Tamandua tetradactyla: one gene and its partners. The protein of the gene in region 3 purifies or fractionates together with the protein of the main gene of each other region. This does not show direct contact. Links are inferred from orthologs where the notes say so. Each region holds a gene or a part of one and is shown on either strand. Other genes may lie near its edges.

What was found.
Region 1: the proteins of NAPA (region 3) and VTI1B purify together in Homo sapiens (affinity purification with mass spectrometry; 3 studies listed by BioGRID and IntAct, counting the BioPlex papers as one, with this or other methods). This does not show direct contact. The link is inferred for Tamandua tetradactyla from reciprocal best matches to the Homo sapiens genes NAPA and VTI1B.
Region 2: the proteins of NAPA (region 3) and STX7 purify together in Homo sapiens (affinity purification with mass spectrometry; 4 studies listed by BioGRID and IntAct, counting the BioPlex papers as one, with this or other methods). This does not show direct contact. The link is inferred for Tamandua tetradactyla from reciprocal best matches to the Homo sapiens genes NAPA and STX7.
Region 4: the proteins of NAPA (region 3) and STX5 purify together in Homo sapiens (affinity purification with mass spectrometry; 3 studies listed by BioGRID and IntAct, with this or other methods). This does not show direct contact. The link is inferred for Tamandua tetradactyla from reciprocal best matches to the Homo sapiens genes NAPA and STX5.

Annotation. Positions count from the first base shown.
Region 1 is NC_135338.1:25,310,015-25,316,871, forward strand, and holds the start of VTI1B (vesicle transport through interaction with t-SNAREs homolog 1B), read right to left. Parts: upstream 3,013-6,857; 5' UTR 2,588-3,012; coding exon 2,473-2,587; intron 1-2,472. Other genes in the region: RDH11 (retinol dehydrogenase 11), read right to left, coding at 6,039-6,141. UniProt on the Homo sapiens protein: V-SNARE that mediates vesicle transport pathways through interactions with t-SNAREs on the target membrane. These interactions are proposed to mediate aspects of the specificity of vesicle trafficking and to promote fusion of the lipid bilayers.
Region 2 is NC_135351.1:32,621,727-32,628,666, forward strand, and holds the start of STX7 (syntaxin-7), read right to left. Parts: upstream 3,017-6,940; 5' UTR 2,437-3,016; coding exon 2,337-2,436; intron 1-2,336. UniProt on the Homo sapiens protein: May be involved in protein trafficking from the plasma membrane to the early endosome (EE) as well as in homotypic fusion of endocytic organelles. Mediates the endocytic trafficking from early endosomes to late endosomes and lysosomes.
Region 3 is NC_135342.1:13,632,108-13,639,311, reverse strand, and holds the start of NAPA (alpha-soluble NSF attachment protein), read right to left. Parts: upstream 3,011-7,204; 5' UTR 2,854-3,010; coding exon 2,756-2,853; intron 1-2,755. Other genes in the region: ZNF541 (zinc finger protein 541), read right to left, coding at 7,141-7,204. UniProt on the Homo sapiens protein: Required for vesicular transport between the endoplasmic reticulum and the Golgi apparatus. Together with GNA12 promotes CDH5 localization to plasma membrane.
Region 4 is NC_135335.1:11,753,383-11,760,680, reverse strand, and holds the start of STX5 (syntaxin-5), read right to left. Parts: upstream 3,016-7,298; 5' UTR 2,866-3,015; intron 2,610-2,865; exon of another isoform or gene 2,486-2,609; intron 2,151-2,485; 5' UTR 2,129-2,150; coding exon 1,904-2,128; intron 912-1,903; coding exon 841-911; intron 678-840; coding exon 622-677; intron 507-621; coding exon 436-506; intron 1-435. Other genes in the region: TEX54 (testis-expressed protein 54), read right to left, coding at 3,321-3,535, 3,659-3,737; WDR74 (WD repeat-containing protein 74), read right to left, coding at 3,951-4,130, 4,384-4,440, 4,583-4,728, 5,060-5,115, 5,202-5,302, 6,738-6,839, 6,994-7,140, 7,259-7,298. UniProt on the Homo sapiens protein: Mediates endoplasmic reticulum to Golgi transport.

The DNA of each region.
Region 1 (6,857 bases), on a different chromosome or scaffold from region 3:
GGAAAGTGCTGTCAATAATATAGAATAGGGGGATATAATATGTTTTTCATAAGTATTATTTTAAATGGCAGGAGAAGAAATATCTTGTCAGGTTGAAAGGGATACATTATGATCTCTATTCTACACCCAGCCTTGAGTTACCACAGCCCCAACAAGTCTGTTTCTCCTATTTCTTTTTTAAGTTCATCATTCATTCTATTGGCCAAGTGAGATAACACAGACACCCTTGAATTTTTCTCCCTCACTCCGTATCACCTGCTTAAAATCCTTTACTGATTCTCCATATCATGTCCCAGGATCTTAATGTGACACTTAGGACTCCTGACAATGTGGCTTTACCTCACTTTCCCCATCTCCTACTACTCTCCCCCACACACCTGAAGCCACTTATAGTTGGAAGTATCCAATTTTTAATTCTTTTGTTGCCTTTTCCCATTTCCCCTCTGTCTAGCAAACACCTACTCCTTCCCTTAGACTCAACTCCAAGTGTAAAACTTTGCCCTCCCTCTCCCATGCTTAAGGTAGTTGTTTTTAATGGTCTTAGAGAACTTTATTTTAGGATGCATCATACACGTTGTTGTAAATTTGCTTCCCTTTAAGGCAAGAACTCTTAGGAGTTCTCAGGGCCCAGGAAAGTGACTGCCGCATGTAATTCTCAATAAATGTTAACTGAAAAATAACTGAATTCAGCTACAGATCATAAGCTAAATGCAAGGGCTGAGTTATAGACATTACACAGTATCTACCAACTCACAGTGAGAATTAAATCTCTGAAAAGTTTATGAAGTGGTCTCAGAATCAGGAAAGAAGGATTTGGAAAAGAGGCCCAGAGTGTTTGCTTAATTAAATTCGATTTATTCAGCATTTATTGAAAGACAAGTACAGACAAGACAGTGAAAAATGAGATTAAGTTTTATTATAGCCCTGAGAATGTATATATAGTATACATTAGCCATTAATTAATTAAGCCCATTACATGCAATTTATGTCAGCGTACTTTGGGCTTGAGCACCACTGCACATCTTTTCACTAGATTCTTTGCAAGAATGGGAAGAATGTTAAGTAGATGACAAAGATGAATATAACTCAGGTTTCTATTTTTCAAAATGGAATACCCTTTTGTATTATTTAGCATTAAAGAAATGGATGTCGCAGAACTTAATTCAGTGCCAGGCTGAAACCGCAGTCTTTTTTTCAACCATATAAATCAGATCCTGGTCTCTACTGCTGAATATCCTTTAAATGAATCCCATTTAGAAGACGATGCAAATCTTTTATCATGGTCTACAAGACCCCATATGGTCTGGGCCATCTCTCTCCAGTTTCATCTACCACCACTCTTCCTTCTGCCAACTCCACATGGAATGCACTGGCCCTACTGCTCTTCCTTGAACATACCAAACCCATTTCTACTTACGGGCCTTTGCAGTGCTAGTCCCTCCTCCTAACCCTACTACCAGATTCATGCATGATTTACTCCCTCACTTCATTCAAGTCTCTGTTCAAATACCCCCCTCCTCAGAAAGACCTTTTCCAGCCACCCTATTTAAAACTGGTGCCTCCCTCACTCTACTTCTTTACAGGGCTTTATTTTTCTGTATAGCCCTTAACAACTCCTCTTAATACTTAAATATTGTTTGTCATCCGCCCTCTGGAATGGAGATTTGCATGTCTTTTTCACTGTGATACTGTATCTAGGACAGTGCCTGGCACATAGCAGTCTTCTAATATTTGTTTAAAAAAATATATATGAATTTCATTCTCACTAGTCACTCAATTCACATGTCCTTGGTAATTCAGAGAGCAAACTCAAAGTCTTGTTCTCGTTGCCATACAGATCTATTCAGCAAGAGCCAAGAAGCTATGACAGGATTTCCTACAGATTTAAATGAAAAAACGTAGCTCTAGGCAGAGCTTGCAACAACCTGAAGCTTGAACTCAAGAGGCAGGAAGCAGCAAGAAACTTCACAACAGGACCTCACCTCAAGACCACAATCCTGATTTTAAAATCTCCCCTACCACGCTAGTGTTTACCAACTCTTAACAAATTTTTGAATCTCAAAGTAATGATTCCTTTTTGAGTTTTCAACCCAATGTCTCTTGACATTTAAACACCAGTTTGCGATGCTTTTAAATGCACAAAATAAATTACATAAGTCTACAAAAGATTTAAGAACCCTTGTGCTCTTTCTGCCATGACGAAAAAATGAGACAAGAAAATTTTGAGAGGGCCACGAGAAGATCAAAAGGGAAGATCCCTGGGAGACGACACCCCGAGGTCCCTCCCTGAGTCTTCAGCCCAGTCGAAGTGGCGGCGGGGAGATCCTGGCTACGGAACCTAGCCAGCCCTGTGGCGCGTCTGAAGATGAGGAACAGGGAGAGAAAAGCCTGGGTCTGGGAGGAGGGTCGGGGCTCTTCTTCCCAGAGCGCGAGGAGCCCAGTTTCCCACATCCCGGCCAGCCCTCGCCTCACCGGTCCCCGCTGTCCCCAGCAGCCGCTCCGGCACTCCTCGTAAATCTTCAAGTAGGCCGCGGAAGATTTCATGCAACTTCTCGAAATGCTCCGAGGAGACCGCGGAGGTGGCCATGGCGCAGGCCGCACTTCGGCTGTGGCCGCCGAGATTCTGGCCTCGGGAATCTGCTCCTAGCCCGGCAGTCAGCCGCCTTGGCCGGCCAGCATCACGACGACCCCCGCCACCGCCTAGGCGAGGCGCTTCCGGGGCCGGCAGCGGGGTCCTTTCAGGCTGGAACGCCCATTTCTCCCGCCCCTTTTCTCTCTCTCCCTTTCTCTCTCTCTCTCTCTTTCTCTCGCGTCGCCCCGGAAGCGTCGAGTGCGAACGCCTGACAGAAAATCAGGCCAGATGCGCAGCCGAAGGGTTGATGGAGGAGCGGCGCCGCGCTGGGGTGAGCTGCGGTCCTCCGGGCCCGGAAATACCCGGCCTGGGATTGGCTGGGGCGCCAAAGCGGAAAGATGGGAAGGAAGCCGCAGACCCGGCAGCACGGCCGCCTCCCTCCGAGGCCCCGCGGGCTTGGCGAAGGGCGCGCGCTGCAGTGCAGGCCGGGAGTTGTAGTTCGGCGCGGATGACGGGAGTCACGCGTTCCGCGGAGTGGGTGGTTCCGTCAGCACCGCGGCTGCTCGGGGTCGCCGCTGACGTGCAGTGGTTTGGTATCAAGATATGCCTTGACCCCCTCAGTGCATGTCTTGACTCATACCTTAACTTTCCGTTTTCGAAAGGTAGTCGGGCCGGGTTCCTACTTGCCCATGGGCGGGTAAAGCGCTTATACTGGGTAGGTCAGGTGGCCACGGGTCACACGCTTTCAGAAGTGGAAGCCAGGCAGTGTGACCCCAAAGTTCACACTCTTAGCCTCTAGCAGTCCGGCTCGCGTAATGCATGAGGTTGCCTCGTGCATTGCATTCATTCACTCTACAGGGGCTTGTTATAGGCATTGTGCCGGGATGTGGATATGATGGTGAATAAAACAATTTTACTCTCTGTCCCGGGGTAATTTATAATCAGGTAGAGAAGGCAGACCTGGCTACCTACCACTGGATGCAATGTGTTAACAATTTAGTCATTTCCTGCACGCCATGGGTGTAAATACTTAGTGTAATGGTTAATGGAAGAAAATTCCTATTTTCACTGACCTCACCATTTGTCTAAACTGAAATGTTTGCTTGGAAGCCCAATATTTAAACTGCCTACACATATGAAAAAGTATATGAATATTCTTTTTAGTGCTTTCTATCTCTTAGACCTTTATTTTTGTCAGATTGAGTTCGCTGACAGTTGAGTCAACAAGCCCTTGTTGAGTTACTAACAGACACTGAGAATACAGAAATAACAAAGTCTGGGGTTAGTGGCAGTGAACTGATATAAGTCCCATAGGACTGTGTTATGGAAGTAAAGGAGCAGATATAAAAAGGAGAGATAGCCTGGAATAAACAAGAAACATGGGAAAAGGTGGTATCTGAACAGTGTCATAGAAGATAAGTAGGAATTAGGTGAATGAATAATCAAATTATCACAAAACCCAAATTAATGTCATTTGAACTGAAACTGGACTGCAGCTAGACAGGGAAAATCATTCTTTAGAATGAGGAATTAATGAATAACTGTAATAATGAAAAGTATTTTCTTCTTTTGACCATATAATTAAACCTTTGTTGAATTCTTATACTTTTTAAATTGGTAAGTAAAAACATAATCAAAAAGACTTTTATTTGTCACTGACATTCAATTTAAATCAAGTAATAAAGTATTAATTCAGCTATTCTACTGCATTATCATCAAAACAAAAGATTTCCTATTTTCCATAATATGACCATTTCTAAATATACACTTCAATGGTCAAAACAATCTCAACAAAAGATTATTAATTTACAATTATGAGAAGTGGAGACTGTGGTCCTATTACTGTTTTCCCTACCAAAGTTAAACATATAAATTGCCAGTTCAAGAAAATCTCAGACTCTGATAGAATAATGTACTGTAAACAAGTGATGAAACATTACCAATTTCTCTGATTTCCTCTGGCAGCATTAGAGCCACCATTGCACTGCCCTTTATTTATTTTTATTTTTTTGCATTACTTTTATTAAAAGTCCTCCAAATAAAATACAGATTTTTACCAAATAGACATTTTAGCATTGTCAAGATAATATAAAGAAATGCCTTGAAAGGTTATTAAATTGAATGTAATTACTGAAAGTCAGTCCTTAGGATAATTATTCTGAGTAAAGAATTGGGATTTTTTTTTTTTTTTTTTGCCCGCCACCTTGGTCGATTGGTTCTTGTTAACCAATAAGGGTCTCATCAGTCTAGGTGATTCAGTGCTTACCCTCAATTCTGCTATAGCTTTTCCTGTCTTTAGACGTTTTGTGTCTTTTTTATAAATCCTCAACTAGTTCCTTCATTGCATGCTTTATATCTCCCAGGATTCTTCCCTTTTTTGGACTTCTCTGCTATCCATATGGATAGCTTCTTGGTGGGAAGTTATCAACAAATGCAGAGTCTGCATCCGTTAGCAGCTCTACCCATGTGCATCAAAGACGGAATGACACTGACACTGGTCTGCTCCATCTCTGATGTGGACCCTGCATGGAGGTCCAGTTTAATACTCCTCCTTTGTGGCTGTTTTGAATTTTCTGAAAATATTCCCAACTGAAGAGATACACAAGAAAACACACAAAGATAAGCCCAATGACAAACAGCCTTTCCCTTCTTCTGGTTTTCTGAGAAGCTAAGGGCACAAAAAAAGGAAGCCTTGCTGAGTACTGGGTCAGTAACTGAAGTCAGGTGGCCATCATACTGCTCTCTTCATGCCCCCTGCTTGCTGATCTGAGAAACAGCAGGAAAATGACACTCTGAACTTGATGTTTATTTCTGCCTCCCTCCCACAGTTAAAACCAAACCCCACAGACTACTTACAAAAGGAAGCTCTTCTATAGTCTAGACCTGAAAGTGTCTTAACAAAGTGACTCTGGCTTGTCAAAGATAAGGCAGAGCCATAGTCCAGAGTCAGTTAAGAGTTTTCTGAAAGAATCCAGATATTGGTGCTGTGAGGGTTTTCTTAAAGAAGTGAAAGAGGAACTCTGCTCTTGAGCCAAGTCACTGTGATTCCTGGAGTTTAGATGAGGCTGCAAGTGTGGTCCTCTTAAAGTCAAGAAGGTTGGGTGGCAGGAAATACATGGTGAATAAAGAGGAAAGTAACTAGTCCAAATTCCCATAAATCAACCCTACCATAGCTTGGCTCCTCCTATGCATTAGGTTTTGGGGAGAAAATATGATCTGTGCAAGTCATATGAGGGTTTTCATATTCTATATTCTAGTAATTCTGGCAGTAACAGGAATAAAATAGATCTGGACAAATGAAAGGCATTTAGATGAATCTGGCAGTGTACTGGCCTTTTACTGAATACCAAGCAGGCAAGGCTGGAAGATTTTGCTCCTTTCTGGCTGCCCTGAAGGAGAGTCAGTTTGGTAGGGAGTGGTAAGCAGACTCCTGCAGTCTTCTTTTGGGTCTGGCGGCCACCACCTGTCAATCCACTGGAATGCTGAGCAGGTCACAGCTGACATCCCACAGCCGTCTTGCTATCGTCTCATTACGAGCCTGAGCAGAGACCCAGGCCACATGACAGTCACTAGAAGGGAAAGAGGGGGGCTTAATGCACAGGGCTCAGGATTAAATCTGTTCTCTGTCTGGGATAGGGGATATGACAGAAAAACAACCCAGAGATAACATATCTTCTAGTTGCTTCACAGGATCCAATCTGTATCCCACAGAAAGTATAGTGTTTTTAGACCTCTTCCTAGACCTCCTCTGATCATACCACTTTGTCTGATATACAGTGTGTACCATTTAGTCTTTTTCTTTTTTTTTTGCATGGGCAGGCACCGGGAAATGAATCCGGGTCTCTGGCATGGCAGGCAAGAACTCTGCTTGCTGAGCCACCGTGGCCGCCATCGTTTAGTCTTTATAATCCTCTTTGTATGGATGGATGTAAGTGTAATATCAGTGCCTGTCTGACACCTGTGTCAGCTTGTTCAAATAAGTCTATAAGGTGCGTATTACAGGACCTTGGCCGTATACAGTGTCACACAGCTGAAATCCTGCTGTTTGCATTGGTCATGGGTGCTTAGAGTAGGAAAAAGCATTTCTTTTCTGGTCTATCTGCATTTAAAACTATTTTGTGGCTAGTGTAAGTAAAACCAGCTTCAAAAACAACTAAAGAAAGGAAAAGTTAAAAAAAAAAACATGCATTCAGTCATGTGTGGCATAAAATGCAAAATGCGCATTGTAATGCATGTCCAGACAAGCCACATCACCACAATCTCCAGTCTGAAAGACCCAGAGCCT
Region 2 (6,940 bases), on a different chromosome or scaffold from region 3:
CTTAAGTTTAAAAATAACCTTGTTTTATTTACCTTTTTCTTTGCAAACAAAGAACGTTCAATATATAATACTAGTAAAAGAAAACAAAATTTCAACTTTAAATATTGTTATTCTTGGACTTTTCCAAGAATCAAAATTCTTTCTGATTGCTAGTTTCTTTTTCGTATAAAGTAATACAATTCAACGTATTACAAGTTTTCACTTATCTTAATGAAATCTAGTAAGAAAATAACACTTGCCCAATGCATTACTCAGCAAGACTTTTGCATTACTCAGCAAGACTTTAGCTTTAGGTGAAGAGATGCACATATTCTAACTCTAAGGGTATGATATTACAGTATCATGCCAAGATTTCTTTTGTAAAATCTACTAATTTGTACACAAATTTTAAAAACGCAAATGTAGTGTGAAGAGAAGAACCAAATGCGGTGCAAAGTGTCATTTCATTCAATCATATCCACTATTATTAGCATCACTAAAGGGGAGAAAAAATGAACTGAAATTTTGTATCTGCCTTTCACTTCCACCTGAGTTCTGCAAATCACTTACCAGTGATGCACGCTGGAATGGTGGGTGATAGTTTTAACAATAACTTTATCTATAGCTAACCTTCCATTCATCTAGACACTGTCTCAGAATCAGAAAAAATACCCAGTGCTGACTGGCTTCACTAAATTCACAATACTAAATCTTAAATGAATACACAACCTGCCAAGAACCTTCTCTGCTTCCTCGATCTGTTAGCTCTCTCAATAATCAAATCTACACGTGATTTGACTTCTCCACTTTCTCCTCTCCTGTAAACTTTCAATGTCCCTCCCTCTCATTCTCTGTCCAATGACTAAACTGGACCTGTTGGCACAAAAACTCTTGCCCCCCATCCTCTGCCTCACCTCTGTAGAGGGATGAAAGGTGAACCACTCATTTGTTTTCCATTATTCCTTGCCCCTTCTCACCTTCAATGACATTCCTTTCACAATGAAACGCTCACTTTTTTTTTGTTTTCCTAACTTCTCCCTTTCTTTTGGGTCATTTTCACTAAACACAAACATTATAGTATTTCCCTTTCGTGGTAGAAAATACAATCCTTTCTCTGACCCTCCTTCCACCTCCTAGGTAGAATCTGCTAGTTGCCTAAGAAATGCTGATTCTTCCCTTTTCACTCAAATGAAGCAAATCCTCACTTTAGTGAGCACATTGCAATCCAGCTATAAGATATTTTCAGGCCTCTTTGCAGCTAGGTGTTCCTATGTGACTGGATCCGGCCAAGAGCAGAAGCAGAGGTGGGTGGAATTCTGAGAAATCTCTTGGAACATGGCTCTGAGACCACTCTTTTCAAAGTCACCAGTGATCTCAATTTTCCAAATCTAACTCTCTGCTTCTACCTTTGCCTCTCAGCAGCAAGACCCAGATGATGCCTCACCTACTTTTGAAACACCCTCACTTTTTGATTCCCAGAAATCCCTGATTTTCTTCCTACCTTACTGGTCACATCTTCTCAGATTCATTTTGCTGGCTTCCTTCTGACTCTTTGAATTCTACCATCTTTAACACTCCTGCTCTTGTGATTATCTTAGACTTGTGGTTTTCAATACCATTAATACTCTGATGACACCTGAATGCAAATTCACATATCTAAGCTAGATATCTGACTTAGATGTCTAAAAGGCATTTCAAAATTTATTCAGATAAAACAAAACTCTCCTCCCTGCCCTAGTTAAAACCTGCTGCTAGATTTCCATTGCCTCAAAAAATCAAGCACAAACTCCCCACACTCCCACAATAATGGGCCCCAGGCTCCTCTCTTGCCATCTCCGGCCCCTCTGGTTTGTTCTCTGGCCACACTGGCCTTTCTGTCTCTGAACGCCCCAGCTTTGTTCTGTTTTAATGTTTTTAATACTAGTTATTTACTCCATCAGAAATGCCCTTTCTCTTTGTCTTCTCACCACCAGCCTTTCTCACCCTCATTCAGGGGCCCAACTAAGCGCAGGCAGTTCCCCCACTCACTCACTTCCACATTATCTCCACTTCATTTTCTTCTAAGGAAACTGTGCTGTTCATTAATTGTTTACTATCTGTTTCTCCTCACTTTACTGTACATAAAATGAGAGCAGGGCCTTGTGGAACTTGTTTACTACTGTACTCCCAATGTGTGGGGTACTGCTCAGCAAATAGGAGGTGCTCAATAAAATGCTTGTTGAATGGATAAAATAGAGTCTCAAAATTAAGGACATTTATTCTGAACCATAATGCCAATATTTAAAATTCTTAATTACAGACCTAAGAATTACCTGGCTATTCTATAATATTAGTCACTTTAGTAACAGAAATCTCACCTCTCCTGAGCCAGGTAATTCCACCCCCAACAACTGGGAAGATTAAAAAACACTTCCTTCTCTGCAGCTTCTGTTCAACTGTGGAGGCCTTTAAGTCCATGCAGGACACAGTTCTGTTTCACAAATGACAGTACACAGATATCAGAAGGCAGTGATCGAAGCTCCTGTTGGCAGAGTGCTCCCAGCCTGCTCTACAGCGCTTCATGCAGGACAGTGGTGAATCTTCATCTTCCCACACACCAAAGCTGCCCCAGATTGTGATGTCATCTCATACAAGCTGTCACAACATGCCATGAATATTCAACTCTACCCCAACTTATCACTTCTCATCTAGTTGGACCAACTGATCACTTTCTCAGGGAGTGCAGCCTGGTTTCAGCTAACCCTTCCTTCTTTCCAGCTCAAGTTCATACACAATCTGCAACCCCTCAATCTTTACTTGGTGCTTCTGTAGCCTGAGTACTGTCATTCCAGAGAAGATGACTCTCAACTCAAGACATCCTCTTACTAAATACAGCTTATCTTTCCTAGCACAGTATACCTGCTTCATCCATTGAAGTAAGCCTCTTGGTCTCCTTTCTTGCCAATGGTGTGCTGCTCCCTCCCTCAGCACTACACTTGCCTATTTATGAACCTTCACCAATTTCAGTTAAAAATTAAAAACAAACAAGGAAGTCATTTAAAAATCAACTCACAGCACTGTGTGATCTTCTGGATGTTGGAAGAGATGCGCTGGGCCAGCTGGGCAGGGTCCCCACCAATTCCCGGAGTGTAAGACATGGTTGACTGGCTTATTCACTAATTTCATCAGATGCTGGGGGGCCGTACAGAAGTTTCTCTAAGCAATGACCTAAATAACATAAAAAGAAAAGTCAAATTGTATTTTTAATGTTACTGGTTTACATCTTCCAAATTATCAATCTGGGAGATTATAAACTTGATTAACTGAACAGGGTCAAAATCAAGCAGCAAAATTCTCATGTCTAGAGAAAAAAACTGGTCATTAGACAGTCATGTTAAACATGTTAAACAATTAAAATAACGTTCAAGCTGCACATTCTCTTTTAAAAACTTCCTTGAGCAGCTCTCCAAGACAGGTTTACTAAGTCTGGTTTCTGGGTAGAATTTTAATTGTTCAGATAATTTCTCCTTGATGAAATTAAAAGCAAATATAAGATGAGCTGCATGATGCTTAGCTTTCTTTCTCCAACATTTAGGACAATTCCTGGCATAGATCAGGCACTTCAACATTTGTTAGATGAACACAGAATTCAGGTTATCCCCAGAAATTTCATTAAATCTAACTTAATCCACATACACAACACACACACATTTCTTTCCTCTGCTCAAGGAAAGAGGAGGATTTTTTAAGAAAACGGTATATCCAGTTCAAGGATCGTTAAAGTAGGGAGCTCGGGAACACGGGACTAGGGGTTCTCGTAATGGGAAAGGTCAAATCTGAGATAGCAGAGCCATCTGCTGGAAGAGAAAGAACGTTCAATAAATGCTCAGTACACTTCCCAACAGAGAAAGGAGAAAGGAGGGCCCCCCTCTTCTAGAAACAGCGTCTTAGGATCAGAAGCCAAGCTGGGATACTGCTACTGGAAGGAGACAAGATGAGGTTCTTTCCTTCTTCAATCCACCCTACCTTCTCAGGGTTTGGAAGGCAGAAAAAAGGACTGCACCTTGACTAGGGGACTGCACTCCTAGAGCTTCAATGACCCTGCTTGCTCCACTGAGTGCGCAGAGGCTACTGCAGTAGTTGGTGGTCAGCTGCCAAGTCAGCTCCCTCAGAGCCTAATCCATGACCAGCATTAAACTAAGCACTGGGAAGATCCAAAGAAAGTGAAAATAAAGATATAAAGTGTTCAAATCAAGTTTGCAATTTAGAAGACAGATTTAAGGTAAAACAACAAAAAACAACACAAAGCAGTAAAAGGCCAAGGGCTAGGCAAAAGTGACAGGGACTCATCACTATTACCCTTGCCTGAAAAGGTTTAAAACCCAGAAATATAGGCTCTGGATGTCTGGCTATGACTGGTATAGAGAACACAAAGCAAGGTCAGGGTGCCTGGAGCCAAGGGACCCAGAGTGTGGGGGAAGGTGATTACCACAGGAAGGGGAGGCCCCAGGCCAACTCTGGATCGGATGATTCCTGGCTGGGAAGAGAGGAACAACCTAACATTTATTACACGTCTGCCAAGTGATAAGCATCTGACATAGACATCTAATTTAATTTTCACAAACTCCCCTTAAAGTCAGTAGCATTATCTTTGTTTTAATGGTGAGTAAACTGTGGTTGATAAAGATTAAATAACTTGTCCAAGGTAACTCGACCAGCACAAGGTGGAGGTGAGAGCCACTTCACAGTACTGATTTCAAAGCTCCTCACACAAAGCCAAGGTCACAGAGAGAGGGCCCCAGATGCCGGGTTTAGTTGGCTTAGGTTGCAACAAGAAGCCACTATATATTTCTTGTAGGAGAGAAAAGGCCACAATGAAATATGTGCTTTGTCCTATGTGTCAGTCCTGGCAGGAAGTACTGGTTCCAGTGGTGCATGGTGGAATGTGTCAAGCTGGCCTGGAAAACCTGGGAGGTTAGGCTGCTCTGTATTTCCCTTCCTTGTTCCATGGGTCCATTTTTCTACTGGGTGCTTTGGGACCCCCTCCCCAAACAACTACCACAATCAATTTTAGAATATTTTCATCACCCCAAAAAGAAAACCTGTATCCATTAGTAGTCATTCCCCATTTATCCCCAACTTCCTAATCCTAGGCGACTCTGAATCTCTGCATCTACTGTATGCCTTTATAGATTTGTCTAATCTGGACATTTCACATAAATGGAATCCTAAAATACATGGTCTTTTGTTACCATATTTGCAAGGTTCATCCACTTTGTAGCACAGAAGAGTACTTAGTCCCTTTCTACCACTGAATAATATTCTATTAGATAGACAGACAACATTTCTTTTATTTATTCATTCACCTATTGATGGACACAGGTTATTTTTACTTTCTGGCCATTAGGAATAATGCTACTATACACATTCATGTACAAGTTTTTATGTGGACATATAGATACAGACACATTTTCATTTCTCTTGGGTAGATACCTGGAAGTGGAGTTGCTGGCTTGTATTGCAATTCTATGCTTAGTTTAATCTTTTGAAGAACTGCCAGTTTTTCAAAGTGGCTGTGTCATTTTATATTTTCACCAATGTATAAAGGTTTAAATTGCTCCACATTCTCACCAACACTTGCTATTACCTGTCTTTCTGATTATAGTCATCCTAGTGATTGTGGAGTGGTACATACTGCAATTGTGATTTGCACTTCCCTGGTGGCTAATGATGCTGAGCTTTTTTTTCATGTGCTTCTTGGCCATTTGTGTATCTTTTTGGGAGAAATGTCTATTCAGATCCTTGGCTCATTGGTCTTTTTATTACTGACTTGTATAACTTCTACATGTATTTTAGATACAAGACCTTTATCAGATTATTGTCAAATATCTTCTCCCATTCTGTGGATTATATTTTAGCCTTTTTTTTAATACAGTTTTATTCATACACCATATAGTCCATCCAAAGTGTACAATCAATAGCACTCAGTATAATCACAGAGCTGTACTTACATTACCACAATCAATTTGAGAACATTTTCATAGTTCATAGTTCCCAAAAGAAAACCCTATATCCCTTATCTCCCCCCTCCGCCATTAATGACACTCAGCTTCAGTGCGTACCTTTGCTACACAATAGATGGAGGAACATTATGCTACTATTAACAGACTATAATTTGCATTAGGTAAATTTTTTTCCCATGTACCACCCTATTACCAACATCTTGCAGTTTTGACATGTATTGTTCTAATTCATGGAAGAACATTCTTGTATTTGTACTTGTGCTGGTTTGAAAGGAAGCATGTCCCCTAAGAAAAGCCATGTTTTAATATAAGTCCCATTTCTTAAAGGTAGAATAATCCCTATTCAATACTGTACATTTGAAACTGTAATGAGATCATCTCCCTGGTTGATGTGATTTAGTTAAGAATGGTTGTTAAACTGGATTAGGGTATGACATGTCTCCACCCATTTGAGTGGGTCTTGATTAGTTTCTGAAGTCCTATAAAAAGAGGAAACATTTTGGAGAATGAGAGATTCAGAGAGATTCAGAGAGAGCAACACTACAAAACAGAGTCCACCAGCCAGCGACCTTTGGAGATGAAGAAGGAAGACACCTCCCGGGGAGCTTCACGAAATAGGAAGCCAGGAGAGAAAGCCAGCAGATGACGCTGTGTTCGCCATGTGCCCTTCCAGCTGACAGAAGTCCTGACTGTGTTCGCCATGTGCCTTCTCACTTGAGAGAGGAACCCTGAACTTCACTGGCCTTCTTGAACCAAGGTATCTTTCCCTGGATGCCTTAGATTGGATATTTCTATAGACTTGTTTTAATCGGGACATTTTCTCGGCCTTAGAACTGTAAACTAGCAACTCATTAAATTCCCCTTTTTAAAAGCCATTCCATTTCTGGTATATTGCATTCCAGCAGCTAGCAAACTAGAACAGTACTATTAACCACATTCATCATCCACAACTGGATTCA
Region 3 (7,204 bases):
TCTGCTACCACCTGTCACAGCCGCCACAGCCTCCTGCCTTTACTCTCCTCCATCCCCCATCACTCCTCCCCCCAGCTGCTGCACTCATCTTTCCAAAAGCTGAACAGGAGCCATCCTACTCCTGTTAAATTCCTCAGTGTTCTTCAGCAACTCAAGTCCAGGCTCTTTCTCACAAAGCACTCTGGGACTGGGCCTTGCCCTCTTCCCTATCTCCAGCCTCCCTGCTCTAACCTTACATTCTAATAATATGGAACTCTCTGTAGCTAAACCTTCATTCACTGCCCTTCACACTTCTGAGCCATTGCTCACGCTGTTCCCTCTGCCTGGAGTGCTGTTCCCCCACTAGAACCCTACTTATCCTCCAAGATGGTGCCAGGCTAGCCACTCCTTCACAAGACTTTCCTGGTCCCCTAGTTCCCATCATTCTAGACAGAACCTCCCCTCATATTAGACTTTTCTTGCCCCCACCCCCCACACTATTCCTGCAACCTACCACACCCTCCCAGGCCCCCATTCCTTTAGCAAATCCTAGGGTTTCTTGGGGCCTTGCTCACAAAGAGCCTTCCTCCAGGACATGCCGTTGCCTCCCACTTCAGGAACTTCACTTGCACAACATAATTTAGCCCTCTATTACATCGGACAATCTTGCTTTACTGGATTTGGCAAGCGTTCGTCTTGCTTTCCCAATCAGACTGCATGTGCCTCAAGGGCTCTGACCGGCCTGACTGAGCTGCTCCCACCATGCATAACCCAACAGTACACTGAATTTCAGTCTGAAGGGACCAGACACCCAGAGCCACACAAGGAAAATGACTCACTACCTGAAAATGAGCTCTTGGCCCCACCATCAAACACGGCACTTGAGCTTCAGGGAGGAAAGAAGCAGCAGCACATACATACCTTCTCTCTCTTCTCAGTCTCTAACATCAAAATTCCTCCCCTACAATCCCATCAGCTCTGGATGTTTCTTTGCACTAGGCATCATTGCTCAGATACTTTTTCAAATTAGTTTTGCTAAATATTATTCAATCTTAAATAACAATGGAGGCTCCTTTCACCTTCCCTTCATTTCTTATCAATCTCTGCTGGGTTCCTAACTCAGTCTCTTCCAATTTCCGGGGCCTCCTCCAAATCCCATTATCTAGACTTCTGGAAGATTCTTCCATCCCACAGCCATCCCCAGTCTCTGCCTCTCTCTGGATCCTGAGTCTGTGCCCCGCACCCCACTTCAGTTCTTCTCAACTCTTTACAAACCCACAGTCCCTTTCGCAAGCCTCCTATCAGGTCAGACAGCCTTCTGCTCACCTTTTCAGGTCCTTCCCCCAGCCTTCCCCCTCCCTTCTACTTCCTCTGCCCAGAGCCTCAAGCCCCTCCCCTTAACCCTATTGGATACCCCTGGACCTGAGCCCTTTTTCCACACCATTTCAGCTCTTTTTTCTGCTCTGTCACACAAAGGCTTCTTCATTCTCAGACCGCATCCCCTCAACTCCTCCCAGACCTCTCCCCTCAGGCCCCTACCTCCATCCCCTCCAGTCCTCTCCAGGTTCCAAATCTTAAGCACAGAAATGTTAATAACGCTGGCTAGCACTTCTGGAATTTTAACCACGTGCTAAGCTCAAGTTAAGCACTTTACACATATTGTTATTCAACACTCCAAGGAAACCAATGAGATAGATTTCCCCACACTCCCCTTTAACAGGGAAGTTAAACAATTTACCCAACATCATGAAGTAGCAAAGCCACACTTTGTGACACTCCTAAACCACTCAGATTCCTCAAAAGAGAATCATCAGCATTATTTGTCTGAGCTAACATGAATTTTATGTGAAATGTCTGCCACGCTGTTGGTGTGAGTTGTCCCCCAACATCTTTAAGGCCCCTTTCCTAGTTTGCCAGAGGGATCTTCCTTCTGAATCTTTATTCAACGATCAAACATCGTGTCCTCAGCCCCCTTTTGGTTTTCTCAGTCCCCTTACCTCTTTCACACCTAGAGATCTCCAGCCCCTTGGCCCAGATCTCCCGCCCTGCCTTCAGACTTAACTCCATCACCCCTGGGCCTCCTCCACCCAGGTCCCATTAAGTATAAGACTTTTTAGATTAGTCACCACTAACCAGGCGCATACTCACCCCAGGCATCCTCACACACCTCAGTCTTGAACTCATCACCTCCAAACCACCTTAGCCCCGATCCCCTCGGCCTGGTATCAGATTCCACCAGCCCTCACCCTGTCACCTGGCCCCCGGAAATCCACTACCGGAGGCCTGGGGAAGGTTAACCCCTAGGGCAGGTGATCTCAGTCCGGAGCCCCATAGCGTCCGCCTGGGATCCCGCAAGTAGGCTCTCCCTGCGCTCCGAAAGGCTTCTCAACCTTGCTGCCCTCCCGGCTTCCGCAATCCCTTCAGGCCGAGCCCCCTTCCAGGCCTCAGACTAAAGACTTTCGGCCCAAGGTTTCCTCCCATCCCTTGGCCCGTCTTCAGCCTGGATCCCCTTCGTCGCCTCAAGATGGTGTCACCTCGGCCTGTCTCCCCTCGTACGAGATTCCCTCCGCTGTCTCAGCCTCCCCTCAAACCGCGCTGCACGGCCCGGGGCCCCCTGGCTCTCAGCCTGTGTCCCCTCTGCTGCCTTGGGCCTTATCTCTTATCCCGAATTCCCTCCGTCCCTTCGGCCCGAGTCGTCCGTGCCTCCCCGGCCGCCTCAGGCCGCGCTCCCGTTCTCTCTGCCGAGGTCCCGCCAGCCCCTCGGCCCTGTTCTTACCCAAAGAGGCCGGAGAAGAAGGACTGCGAGTTCTTCACCTTGCGCTCCGCCTCGGCCAGCAGCGCTACCGCCTCCGCTTCCTTCCCCGAATTGTCCATGGCAGCCGCGAAGGGACTCAGCAAACGGCCCGGCCCGGCCCTCGGAGAACTCAGCACCCGCCGCGCCAGGCGGATCGGCGGAGCTCAGCAGGCTGCGTTGACGTCGCACCGGCACGTATCGCCTGCTGCCCGGCGCCATGTGACCCGCGCCGACCAACCAGCGCGACGTGGAGCGCGACGCTCGCCCCGCTGGCCCCGCCCCTGTTAATCGGCGCACGAAGACCCGTGACTCGCAACCACCAGTCGGCGTCCACAGCTTCGGCGCACGCGTACGACACCACCACGTGACACGAGCTAAGCCAATCAGAGCGTCAAGGACCTGCTCGAGAGTGCGGCCTCTCTGGAGCCTCCTCCGCTAATCAGCAACAGCAGCCCTCGCCTGGGGTCCGCCCTGCCTGGGAAACTACGGCACTAGTCAGCTGACCGCCGGGCCTCACGTGACAACCCTACCCCCCCACCCCCAGCCCGGGGCGCACGCCTACGCCCGAGTTTGACAGTTCCCTTGCGCAGAGCTCAGTATTGCCTCAGTGGTGTTACCTCGCGCCATCCTTCTTCGCGTATGTGGTGGAAAATAAACTTTTCTGCCTCTTCTTACGCCCTCTGCCGACTGATGCTGGAACTGGTTTAGTCCTGGGTAACTTTGAGAGCAGAGGTTTCTAAACTCTGCTTGCAAGGGCAATAGTTGGGAGAACGTGTTAAAATTGAGGTTTGAGCACAGCCCATTCAGTCTCCAGATCTTGGTTCCTACTATCATTCTCCCATAGAAGAAACCAGGGGGAGGGAAAGTACACGTAGGCGGAGCATTTTGTAGTGTCCGAAAGTAAGGAAGTGCTAAAAACAAATCACACAAACACGATGTGGGTTTATCAAAGGGCCACATGCACCAACTGAAAGGAGAAGGAGCCTAAGTCCCAACTCTTTAAGTGTGGGCTGCACAAAGTGACTTCCTTTTCAATTATCAACGCGGGGGGGGGGGTGCGGGACAGGACAGCAAGTAACTTTACAGTTGAGAAATGAAGCACTGCATCAGCTAGGTGATGACCAAGGTTAACACAAAGTGATGTCATGTTGCTAGTATATATCTTTGATAAGATGTGATGTAATGGTTCTTCTTTCCCAAAACATTCAACCCTAGTCTAATCACATGAAAAACAACAAATCCCAATTGAGGCACGTTCTATAAAATACCTGATCAGTATTCAAAACTGTTAAGATCATCACAAACAAGGAAATTTGGAGAAACTCACACCCAAGAGGAGCCTAAAGAGACGTGAGTATTAAATGTGATGTGGGATCCTGGAACAGAAAAAGGGCATTAGATTGAAACTAAGGAAATCTGAATGAAGTATGGACTTGAGTTAATAATTATGTATCAATATTGGTTCAATAATTTTAACAAATCTAAACAACAAAAATACCACACCAGTGTAAGATGTTAGAAGAAGAAACTGGCTGTGGGGTATGTGGGAACACTTTGTCCTATTCTCAGTTTTCTCTATAAATCTAAAATTGTTTTGTTTTGTTTTTTTCCTAATCCTGGTTCTAGGGCCCTAAATCCGAAGATTCTGATTCTCAAAGTCTGTGTCAGGGCACAGGAATCTGCATTTTTTTTACAGTCCCCTCCCCTCCATGTGACTCAGATGCAGACCATTGGGAAACCAGTTTGAGAAAACAGTGATCGGGTGGTGGACGGGAGGGCACCGAACACGCTGGGTGAGGCACAAGAAACCGTTGCCCAACTCTTCTTCTTAGATTTTCCTGGACCACCTATTTGTGGTTGCTGTTGCATCCTGACCACAGATCAGGTGGGGGTGGGTCTGCATCACCACAAACAGTTTTGGTTCTGTGTCTGTCAGTGGGGCACTACTCTAAAAGCTTCCACTTGTTTTAAGCTGTTGAGCTTGAGGGTATTTTGTTATGGAGCAACAAATAACTACTATACTCCCTGACTCTTTAAGCTAGGCTTTTGTTTCAAAGTCCAAGGAGCAAGTTTGACTTATTATTTAGGATGGAGTCCAAACGATGATAGTAATGCCATCAGAACTCATCGAAAGTTAGCTGTAAAATTCACATGGGGAACCCTGCAAAATACCTAATCATTTAATGGATACATGGGGATAGGCATTTTTCAATCTCATTTAATGGATACATGGGGATAGGCATTTTTCAATCCGCTTTAGAGGTGAGAAAATGAGGCTTAGACAGGGGAAGTGAGCTGCGTAAGGTCACAAAGAAGGGGAGACAGGATGCATATTCTGGTTCTTCTGATGCCTGAGCCTGGACTGCTTCAAACTTAATTCCTCCTCTACTCCTCCTCCCTCCGAGTCTTGAAAACTCGGCTGAGATATCAGCCCTCTGTGAAACCTGGCACCACCGTCTGCCCTGTTCCCCCTGCCAGATCCTTACACACAGGGCACACCCTTAGAGACCTGGCCAAGCAGTGATGTGCCCTGTCATCTCGGTGGTTGCTCTGCATCTGCTCGGCTGCTCAAGCCCCCAACCCACAGGCCAGCCTTGATCCTATCCTTTTCCTCACTACCTCTTCAATTTCCAAGTCTGTGCAGTCCACCTGCAAAATGCACCCCTAACCCACACGTTTCTTTGCCTCATCACTGCTACCACCCAACCTGGTACATTGCATCTTTTACCTTGGAGGCGTCTATCTACTCCCCCGATGTCCACTCTTGCCTCCTACAACCCATCTTCCACAGCAGTCAGAGAAATTTCTTCAGGCAGTTTGTCAGTTGTCACTTCCTACTTAACACCTCCTCTGGTCTCTAGCCGCAGAGAGTGCACTCTGCCCTTCTGCAGCCTGGGATCCAGATCCCAACTCAGCAGGCCCCTCAGTGAGGCCTTCTCTAGCTGTCCCACTAACACTGCCTGCCGCACTCTGGTCCTCTCCTAGGACTTGGCCCCTCCTTCACCTCCTTCATGTCACTTGGTGGGAGGACACTGTGGTCTGCCTGCCCAGTAGCCATTTCCATGTCCTTCTCTTCTCCTGGCTAAGAGACTTCCAGTTTTGTTCAGGTGGCAATAAACTTGAGGGCATACATTGGTCTTCCTTGGTCCCCGAGACAACCCTTGAGTGGTCCAAGGAAACAGTGATCATTTCTGCTCCATATGCCCGGGAGGAGTTTAGAAATGAGCACAGGCTATGGTTCCGGCTGATGAGACACAAGAGGCAGGCTGCTGGGAGCTTATGCAAGTTTTCCTTTCTTAACAAGAGAAACTAGGAAGGAAGGGATATGTTCTTTATCTGTGAACCTCCAACGATATGGATATTATTGTGGGAGGAGTTGAATCTTGTCTCTGCTGCAGTCTTGACTTTGTGGGTAGAGCCACGGGAGCCATACACCCTGACTGCTCACACTTACAACGACAGTCTTGGTGCTGTGGCCAAAAGCAGACCCACCCTTGAGATCTTAAATCGCCTCGTTCGCATCTCTGTTACTGTTATCTCCCTCCTAGAACGTGAGCTCTCTGAAGAAGGGGGCCCTGTTCCTCCTGAGTCACCACAACCCCATACCTGGGCTGGGCAATGTCTGGCCCACGCTACAGTAGGCGCTTAATGAATGTACAAATTAATCTGCCTGTTCCCTCCCCTCTGCCTCCCAAGGCTACCAGCTCCTCTGGGACACGAACCCATCTTACTCATCTCTGTGGCCCTGGAATGAGGCAGGGATGCAAAAGCCTTTGTGGGATCAACAGGCCAGGGAAGTCAGAAGACAGCTGCTCAAGAACCCAATTTAATAAGATTTACAAGTAGACACGTAAAAAAAAAAAAACCCTAACAATGTACAAGTCGTTGCAAGATTAGGGACTGAATCCTGAGTGCAGAGAGACCACCTACTTAGGGAGGCCCCAACATGCTGGGGGAGATCTGAAGGTATTTTCCCACTGATTCTCTAAATCTTGGCCTTATCTAACAAATATAACCAAACCCCAAAAGTGAGGCTAAGACTTAAGAGCTACCCAGATCTAACTTTTTCCCCTCCCCAAGTCTCCCAGCTCCAGGAGGAGTGGAAGCAAAAGGCAGGGAGAGACGATTAACATAAAAAGAATGGCACTTCTGGCACCCCCATGACAGGGACTTCACAAATGCCGGGTGACTGTGTGCTCCTCCGGCGGATCGATGGCCATGTGCCCAGCGTGGGACAATGCAGAGTGGGGGCAGCGAGGCAGGGCCAGCACCTTGGCAAGGTCTCCTCTTGGACAGACTACAGGGAGACGAGAGGCCTGGAGACCCCTCCCCCCCGTCTAGCCCAGCAGGCTGCCGCAGGGTGGGGCTCACCACTGCAGGGCACCGATGCCGGGCCCTGCCCCCTCCCCATCCTCCTCCTCCAGCTGGAAG
Region 4 (7,298 bases), on a different chromosome or scaffold from region 3:
TGAACTTTCCCTTTTCAATCTATACCTCTGCACATGCTGCTTCCTCTGACTGGATTGTCCTTCCATTTTTCTTACAAGACTTGAAAACTACTCACATTTCATTTCCTTTCTGAAATCTTTCCCAGCTGTAGTATTCAACTTTTCGTAAGATCTTTTCTGTACCACTTGCCTCCTACTCATAAATATACTCATAGTATATTTACGGGGCTGGTAACTTCTTCGAGACAATAAGCCCTTGACAGCAGGAGTCCTGCCTCATGTTGTGTCAACAGTCCCGCACAGTGCTTCATACATAACAGGTAATCAATAAGTGTCTACAGTGTCAGTAGACGCGTGGAGGTAGCTCTAGAAATGTACTCTGAGCTTCTATGCAATGGATAATGATGAAAGTGGTTTAACTGGATTGCTGGGCTCTCCTGATGGATAGAAGTTCACCTGTTTGATGATATATGTTAGCTCCTCGATTTCCACTGCTTTATCATCAAAGAGAGACTTGCGCTTTGCCACTGCAGAGACAATGAGAAGGAACAACAGGTCAAAGACAGGGCTCAGGGAGTAAAGTTCCTGAGCCCTCTTTGGTTCACTGCCCCACCTTGGAAAGACCCCAAGAAAAACACTCACAGATTGTCAGCTTCTCCAGCTTGGCAAATGTGTTGCTGAGATCTTTCCCAATGCGCCTACAAACAAGCATTAGTGAAAACACTGCGGAAATGGGTAGGAGAGGGCCTAACTCCATATTAGCTCCAGCGCAACTAACCCCAACCCTCACAGACAAGGCCACCAAAGACAAACCCACTTTTCCTCAGACACATCACCCCAGCAGATGGTTTCTCAACTCACTTGGCCATGAGTGTGAATTCACTTCGCTGCCGGACAGCACGCAGAGCCGGTTTATTTGTCTGGATTCCATTCTGAAAAGCAATGTCAGGAGGTGACAACCTTAGCTCCCCTTCCCCCACTTCCAGCTTTCAGTGTTCCTCAGGTTGTCCACTAAACTCTCTTAGTAGAGCTCAGGTCCCCGGCTGGCCAATCCAGATTTATCAGCAGTAGTACAGAACCCCGATTTGAAGACACATAGACTGGGGTTCTAGTACTTACTAGATGAAGGACTTTGGTCATGTTACTTTAACATTCTGAGTTTCTACTTTCTCTTTTATGTAGCGAAGACAATCCTTCTACCTTCTTTTGCTGCTACAGAAAGTGCTGTAAAGCTCTTAAGTCAAATATGTAACTCACTCACTGTAAGGTACTAAGTAAATGGTAGCAAGTATTGCCATTCTATTCCTCAAATCAGGGACTCAAAGAGTATCACAACTAGAAAGCCCCTGGAAATCACATAGGAGAGCAGTTGTTAGCCAGAGCTGGACACAGAAAATATTTAAAAATGGTCACCCAAGTCCCACCGAGATTCAGAGCCGGACTGAGACAATGTTTTTTCAAGCACTCTAAAGTGATTAAGAAAGCTTCCCTCATTTTAGACACTCAATTTTAGACACTCAATTTTAGAAAAATTGAGGCCCAACTAGATTAATTAACTTTCCCATAGTCACAAAGGAAAACTGTGGCAGAACTAGGCCAGAACTTGAGTTCAAGGTATATGACTGCTAGCTAAAAGTTCCGTCTAGAATCTGTTCTTTGGCCAAACCAAGTATATTGCAGGCACCTCTGGCCCTGAGGTATTCCCCCCATAATAGCAACCCTATCATCAGGGAGGTTCTTCTCAAAAAAGTCTAAGCCCCCGCCTGCTAACCTCTGTTTCTTAGCAGACCCTACTGTTCCATCCAAGCCTTATTAGGAGCTGTCCATCAGCTTCCCACAAGAATGACTTTAGTTAATAGTGTTGGAGCACAGCCCCATTCAGAAATAAGGCTTACCCCTGATCTTTTCCACTCCAGGTTCTTACCTGATGGCTTTGAAGGGACTTGCAGGCAGACAAGAACTCCTGGGTCCGGTCCCGGCAGGACATGGTGTCAGAAAGGGGAGGGATCAGGGCCACTGGGGGGGGCAGAGGGGTGATGTCGCTGCTGCTACTTCCAGCAGTTGCAGGAGACAAGATCTGTGTCTTTGAGAGACCCAGGTAGACACCCTGATCCGTGTTCTTAGACCCGTAGCGTTTCCGGGGGATCATTGAGACGCATAACCTCGGACTGCTGTGGAGGGAAAGGAGTCATTCTCCAGGGAGCCACCTCTTCCATAAATGACCCCCACCCCCCACCCCCAACCAACAAATCCTCCGGCTCCTTCTGAACCTGGCAAGCATTTTAAACCACAAGGCCACTCGTAGATCCTGGGGCCGGCTCGCAGAGGCAAGGGCCCCACTTCCCACCCGGCCCAAGCTGTCCCCTCCTCAGACTCTTTCAACTCGACTCTGGCGACCAGAGCGTGGGGCTGGGGGCCCTGAAGCAGAGACAGAGACAGGGCCAAGAGGCAGGTCCCCAGGCTCTGAGGCTCCAGCCCAGCCCGCAGAGGTGTGCCAGGCCCTAACCGGGACCTCTCCTGTCCTAGGCTCCTTGACTCCTCACAGAAAAACGGCGACCAGCCCTCAGAAGGGGACACACTTCGGTGGACGAAGGGGGAAAACCTCTAGGTGTTTATTTGAAACAGGAAGTCCCACCCACCCCTCGCTGGGTTCCGCCTTCTGGAAGGCTGCAACCACTGATTTGCTAATGCCGACGTCTGTCTCGATAGGTGCTTTTCTGATTGGACCACCAGGTATTCGCTCAGCCCCAGCCGGGTCGGCAGGACCTAGCCGCTGGCCCCCGGGTTCTCGGCCCCCGGGTTCCCCTCCCCCCGCCCCCGCCCGTCGCCGCCCTCGGACCCGGAGCTGCCCCGGCAGCCAGATCCTCTCTTAGAGAGAAATCCTACCTCCTTTCTGCCGCCTGCCGCCGCCGCCACTGCCACAATCTCCCAGGCCGTCACCGCCACCTCCGTGGGGGCCGAAGCCGCCGAAACCCGACCGGAGCTAGAAGCCGCCACGTCACCCGCGCGTAACCCCGCCCCCGGTGACGAGAACGCGGCGCCACGCCTTTTGGGGGCTGGGCGACCTGGGAGGCACGCCCCCCAACCAAGCGCCCGTGCGCCGTCGCCTTCCGATTGGCCAGGCCGACACCGTGACCCCGCCCCTGAGGCGCGGGTGCCGGAGCCCCCGGGGGGGGGGGGGGCTGGGCTAGCCTCCGGGGAAGAGCCTTAAAGAACCCGCAGCCCGGCTGGTGCCCGCGCGGTGTTCCCAGAGCCCGCAGCAGAGGCACAAACGCTCGCGAAGGTCCACGTTCGAAATTTTATTCTCTGGAGGATGGGACGGATTGAGAGTAGGAATGGGGTTACCCCTTCTCCGGCTCCTCCTGGATCACCTCCTGGTTGATCCCCAGGTTCGGAATCTCGTGCCTTTGACTGAGGACTGACTGCCTCTTATTCGACCGTGCCGAGCCCCGACGGCTGAACAGGGACAGCCGCCGCCACAGCACGGTGATCAGAAGGCTTTCGTTCGACTTGCGCTTCCGGTGGCGCGGGGAGTCCGTATCGCTCCCTTCGAAGCCTGTGGAGACGACGATGCCTCTGAGCTGCGCTCTGCCCTCACCGGTCCCACTCCCTTAGTGATCCCAAGGCGGCTGCCCCCTGCCCCGCTCCCCGGGCTCCCTTCCTGCGTCTCCGGGCCCACCTGTCCCGCCTTCCATGGAGTCGCCGTTCCTGGCCTGATCACTGGAAGTCTGAAAGTCCTTGTCTTGGCAGCAGCCCATGGCCCCGCGTGGCCGGCACTCCGTACCACCCCCCCAACCCGCCCACCCGCAGGTCTTTGGCCCTTGCCCGGCTTTTGTGACGTCAGCGGTCCTGCCGCCCCGGCTCCAGGAGTCCCCAGCCCAAGCCATTCATCCCCTCATTTCCCCCATCACAAAAGGCTCCAGGTCATGGTGGGGATTGAGGTGTTTATTTACAAAATGGGTACCCCATCTTCAGGGGCTGGTAGACCCAGGCCGCTTCTTCTTTCTCCGTCTGGTTTGGGGGGCCCCTTGGCTCTGCCCCACATCCGGGAGCTTCCGCTTAGCAGCGGCTTCCAAGGAAGCCCAAAGTTCATCTGTCTCTAGGTCTTCTGGGGCCACCTTGTTGGACTCTTGAGGCTCTTGGGGCTCATCCTGGTGAATGGGGGGAAAGCTTACAGAGACCCACAAGGAGGTCCTAGCTGGGAAATAATCCCAGCTTTCTTTCCTGCTCTAGGATGTCATTCCCATCCCTGCTCTTAGGAATGGCACCTTTAGTAATAACCGTGTCAGGACTATCTAACTTTTAACTTGGCGGTCTGCAATCCAGCTGCCACCTTTATCTCTCCATGGAGAAAACCTCACATCGAAGCCCTTGAATCCCACATTCCCTGACCCAGCTGCTCACCTCCCAGTTGTCCCTGCCTGAAAGGAGGAGGCAGTTCAGCCGAGACTTGAGATAAACCTGCAAAAGATGAGAGACCTTAAAGAACCTAACATGCTGAAGTGCTGGACACAGGAATGGAAAGCATAGGAAGTTGGGGGCTCCAGGGTCAGGCAGGGTGGGTATGTGTGTAGGGGATGAGGTCCAGTGGGATGGCTCTCACCTTATGTTCTAGGCCCCGTGGGTTCTGGATTCTGTGTACCCTCAAGACTCGGTCCAGGCTACAGGAGGCTAGGAGGGGCTTTGAAGGGTGGCACTGCAAGCCTCGGACACTGCCTGCCAGTCCTTTCAGACAGCCCAGCAGGCGCCCTGGAAGAGGGGAAGCATCAGTGCTTGCTGGCGGGTCAACACCACTTGGTGGGTGTTGAATGCTCTCGTCACTTTACATGTCAACATTACATCCTCAACATAATGCTGAGATGAGAGTTACCATTCATGTCTCCATGGGCAGGAAACAAAGGTGCAGCACTGAAACATTCTGCTTGGGGTCTTTCAGCTTTTGGTGAAACCAGGGTTTGAACCCAGGCAATCTGGCACCTGAACGAGGGCTCACAACTACTCCACTTCACTGCTTCAGCGGGAATCGTGCCCTTCTTCCCCATGCTAACCCCCTTTCCCAAGGACCCCCTGGTTGACTCACCTTGCCGAAGGTCAATTTCCGCCAGCTGCCCATGAGTATTTCCCACAATCACTGAGCTGAGGAGACCAGAGACAGGTGGTGTCAGCAGGAACTGCCTGCAGTCCTTCCTGAGCCACCCATCTCTTCTCTCACACTCACTCACTTGTTCCCAGGAGTAAGGGTCATCGCTGTCAGCGGATATTCTCCATAGGTGGCCTCCAGGACTGGCCGCCGCTGAGGGCAGGCTGGATCATAGACACGGATCTGGAGGAAGACTGCAGCATCACTCATGAAACCTTCACCCTGCACAACCATCAGCCCTCTCCACATCCTCACCCCAGCCCCCCTTTAAGCACTGCCTTCATGTTTATGACACACTCTCAGAACAACTTCCCCATGTGATGGCCAGACAAACCTGTGAAGATGAGACTGAGCAAACTGAGGCTCTCAAAGGTACACATATGTTCCTAACCTGTTCTCAGACCAGCACTCTGCTAGGCAGTGCTGGAAACATGGTGATGCAGTCTCTGCCCTCCCATATTCCAGAAAGGACCTAGGCTCTTCTAGTTCGAGCTCCTCACAGACAGGGCGGTGACTTGTCCAAAGTCACCAGGTATCCTGGCCTCATGCTCTCAGAACATCTACAGGGAGGGCAGAACTAGATGTGATCAGAGCAGCCAGAAGGGTAATGGGGGAGGGGTACAAGAACACAGAAGATAGGACTAAGTCCAGAAACTCCCCAGTGGATGGGCAGGGGGCATCCTGGGAACATTCTCACAGTCTGTATTCCCTTAGTCTGCCCATCAAACAGGAAATCCGAGTGTAGGAGGAGCGGGGGTGGGTTTGCTTAGGAATGTGCATGGACAAGGTTGAGGGGACAGGTCTCCCAGGTTGTGGTGGGTGTGTGTGTGTATAGCAGCATTCCAATGGTCTGCAAGTGTGAGTATTCTGCCACGCATCCCCTAATTGAGAGAGTGTGTATGTATGTGGGGGGGTGGGGGTGGATCAGATGGTTCAATTGTCACAAGTCTTGAATTTCAGGCAGAGAAGTTTAGCTTGAGTAAGGAAAGAGAGATGAAAGCTTCGTGTGTGTTTTTGTTGTTTTGTTCTTGGGTGCATGGGCCGGGAATCGAACCCAGGTCTCCCACATGGCAGGCAAGCATTGTACCACTCAACCACCTGTGCATCCTTCATACGTGTTTTGAGCAGAGCATATCACCGCAAAGATCTGACTTCAATGTGTGGGAATGAAGGAGACAAGGCAAAAAAGCAGGACTTCAAATGAGACGAGTCATAAAGTTTCCTAGTACAGCCCTTTCTGTACAAGTGGGGACCTAGGGCTAGAGGCAAGGGTCAGGCTTGACTCCCAAAGCAAATCAGAGGCAGCATCAGGACTGAAACTCAGTTCCATTGGCACCCAGCCCAAGATCCTCTCATGACACCTGCACCCTGCGGATCCAAGTATGAAGGGAACATTCCTTTCAGCTCTCCACTCTTCCAAGCAGGAGGGAAGGAAGAGCCCTAGTTCAGAAAATTCCACATCAGAATGCAATAAGGGAAGGTCACTTGTTCAGTAGTAGGGCTGGAAAGTTTAAGGGAGATGCTCCCGTGCCAAACCGGGGGGACTGAGCCTGTATAGCTAAGCCATTTCTCCAGGAAGCTACTTAGGCCCAGGAGAATGGGTGGGGTGGTGCCTCACCTGGTGGTACCCTGTACAGGTGGCAAGCTTCTGCGACCCAGGAAGGAACAGTATGTCCTGGTCCCAGATGGGAACACGAAGATCAAGCCAATCGTTTCGCACCTGGTAGGAGGAGTTTATGGGGGGTGGGGCTGTGAGGGCCAAGTGTGGCCCCCACATTCAGCCCTCCTTCATTACCCCTAAAGCCCATCTGATCTCTCACTCAAGGTCAGTGGCCTCAGCCTCTCTGGACCTCAGAGCCAGCCCTGTTACTCACGTTCTTGGCCCTGAACACAGGTTCCTCAGAACCCTGCAGGTCCCACACCTTCAACGCATTCTCCTTCCCACCTGTGGCAACCATGTGGAGGTATTCTGGGTTTTGGCGCATCCTGCACACCCCGGAGCCAACCGTCAGTTCCAGGAGCTGAAAAGGAGAAATGAGAATCAGTCCTACAGACCTCAACACTCTCCCTCACTAAAGCCCTCATCAGGCCCCTACCCCCGGCCCCACTTTCCTCAACCATCAGGGCAGGGGTCCTTACTGGGTCAGATGACTCCTCCTTGTCATTGTCACTCCAGACT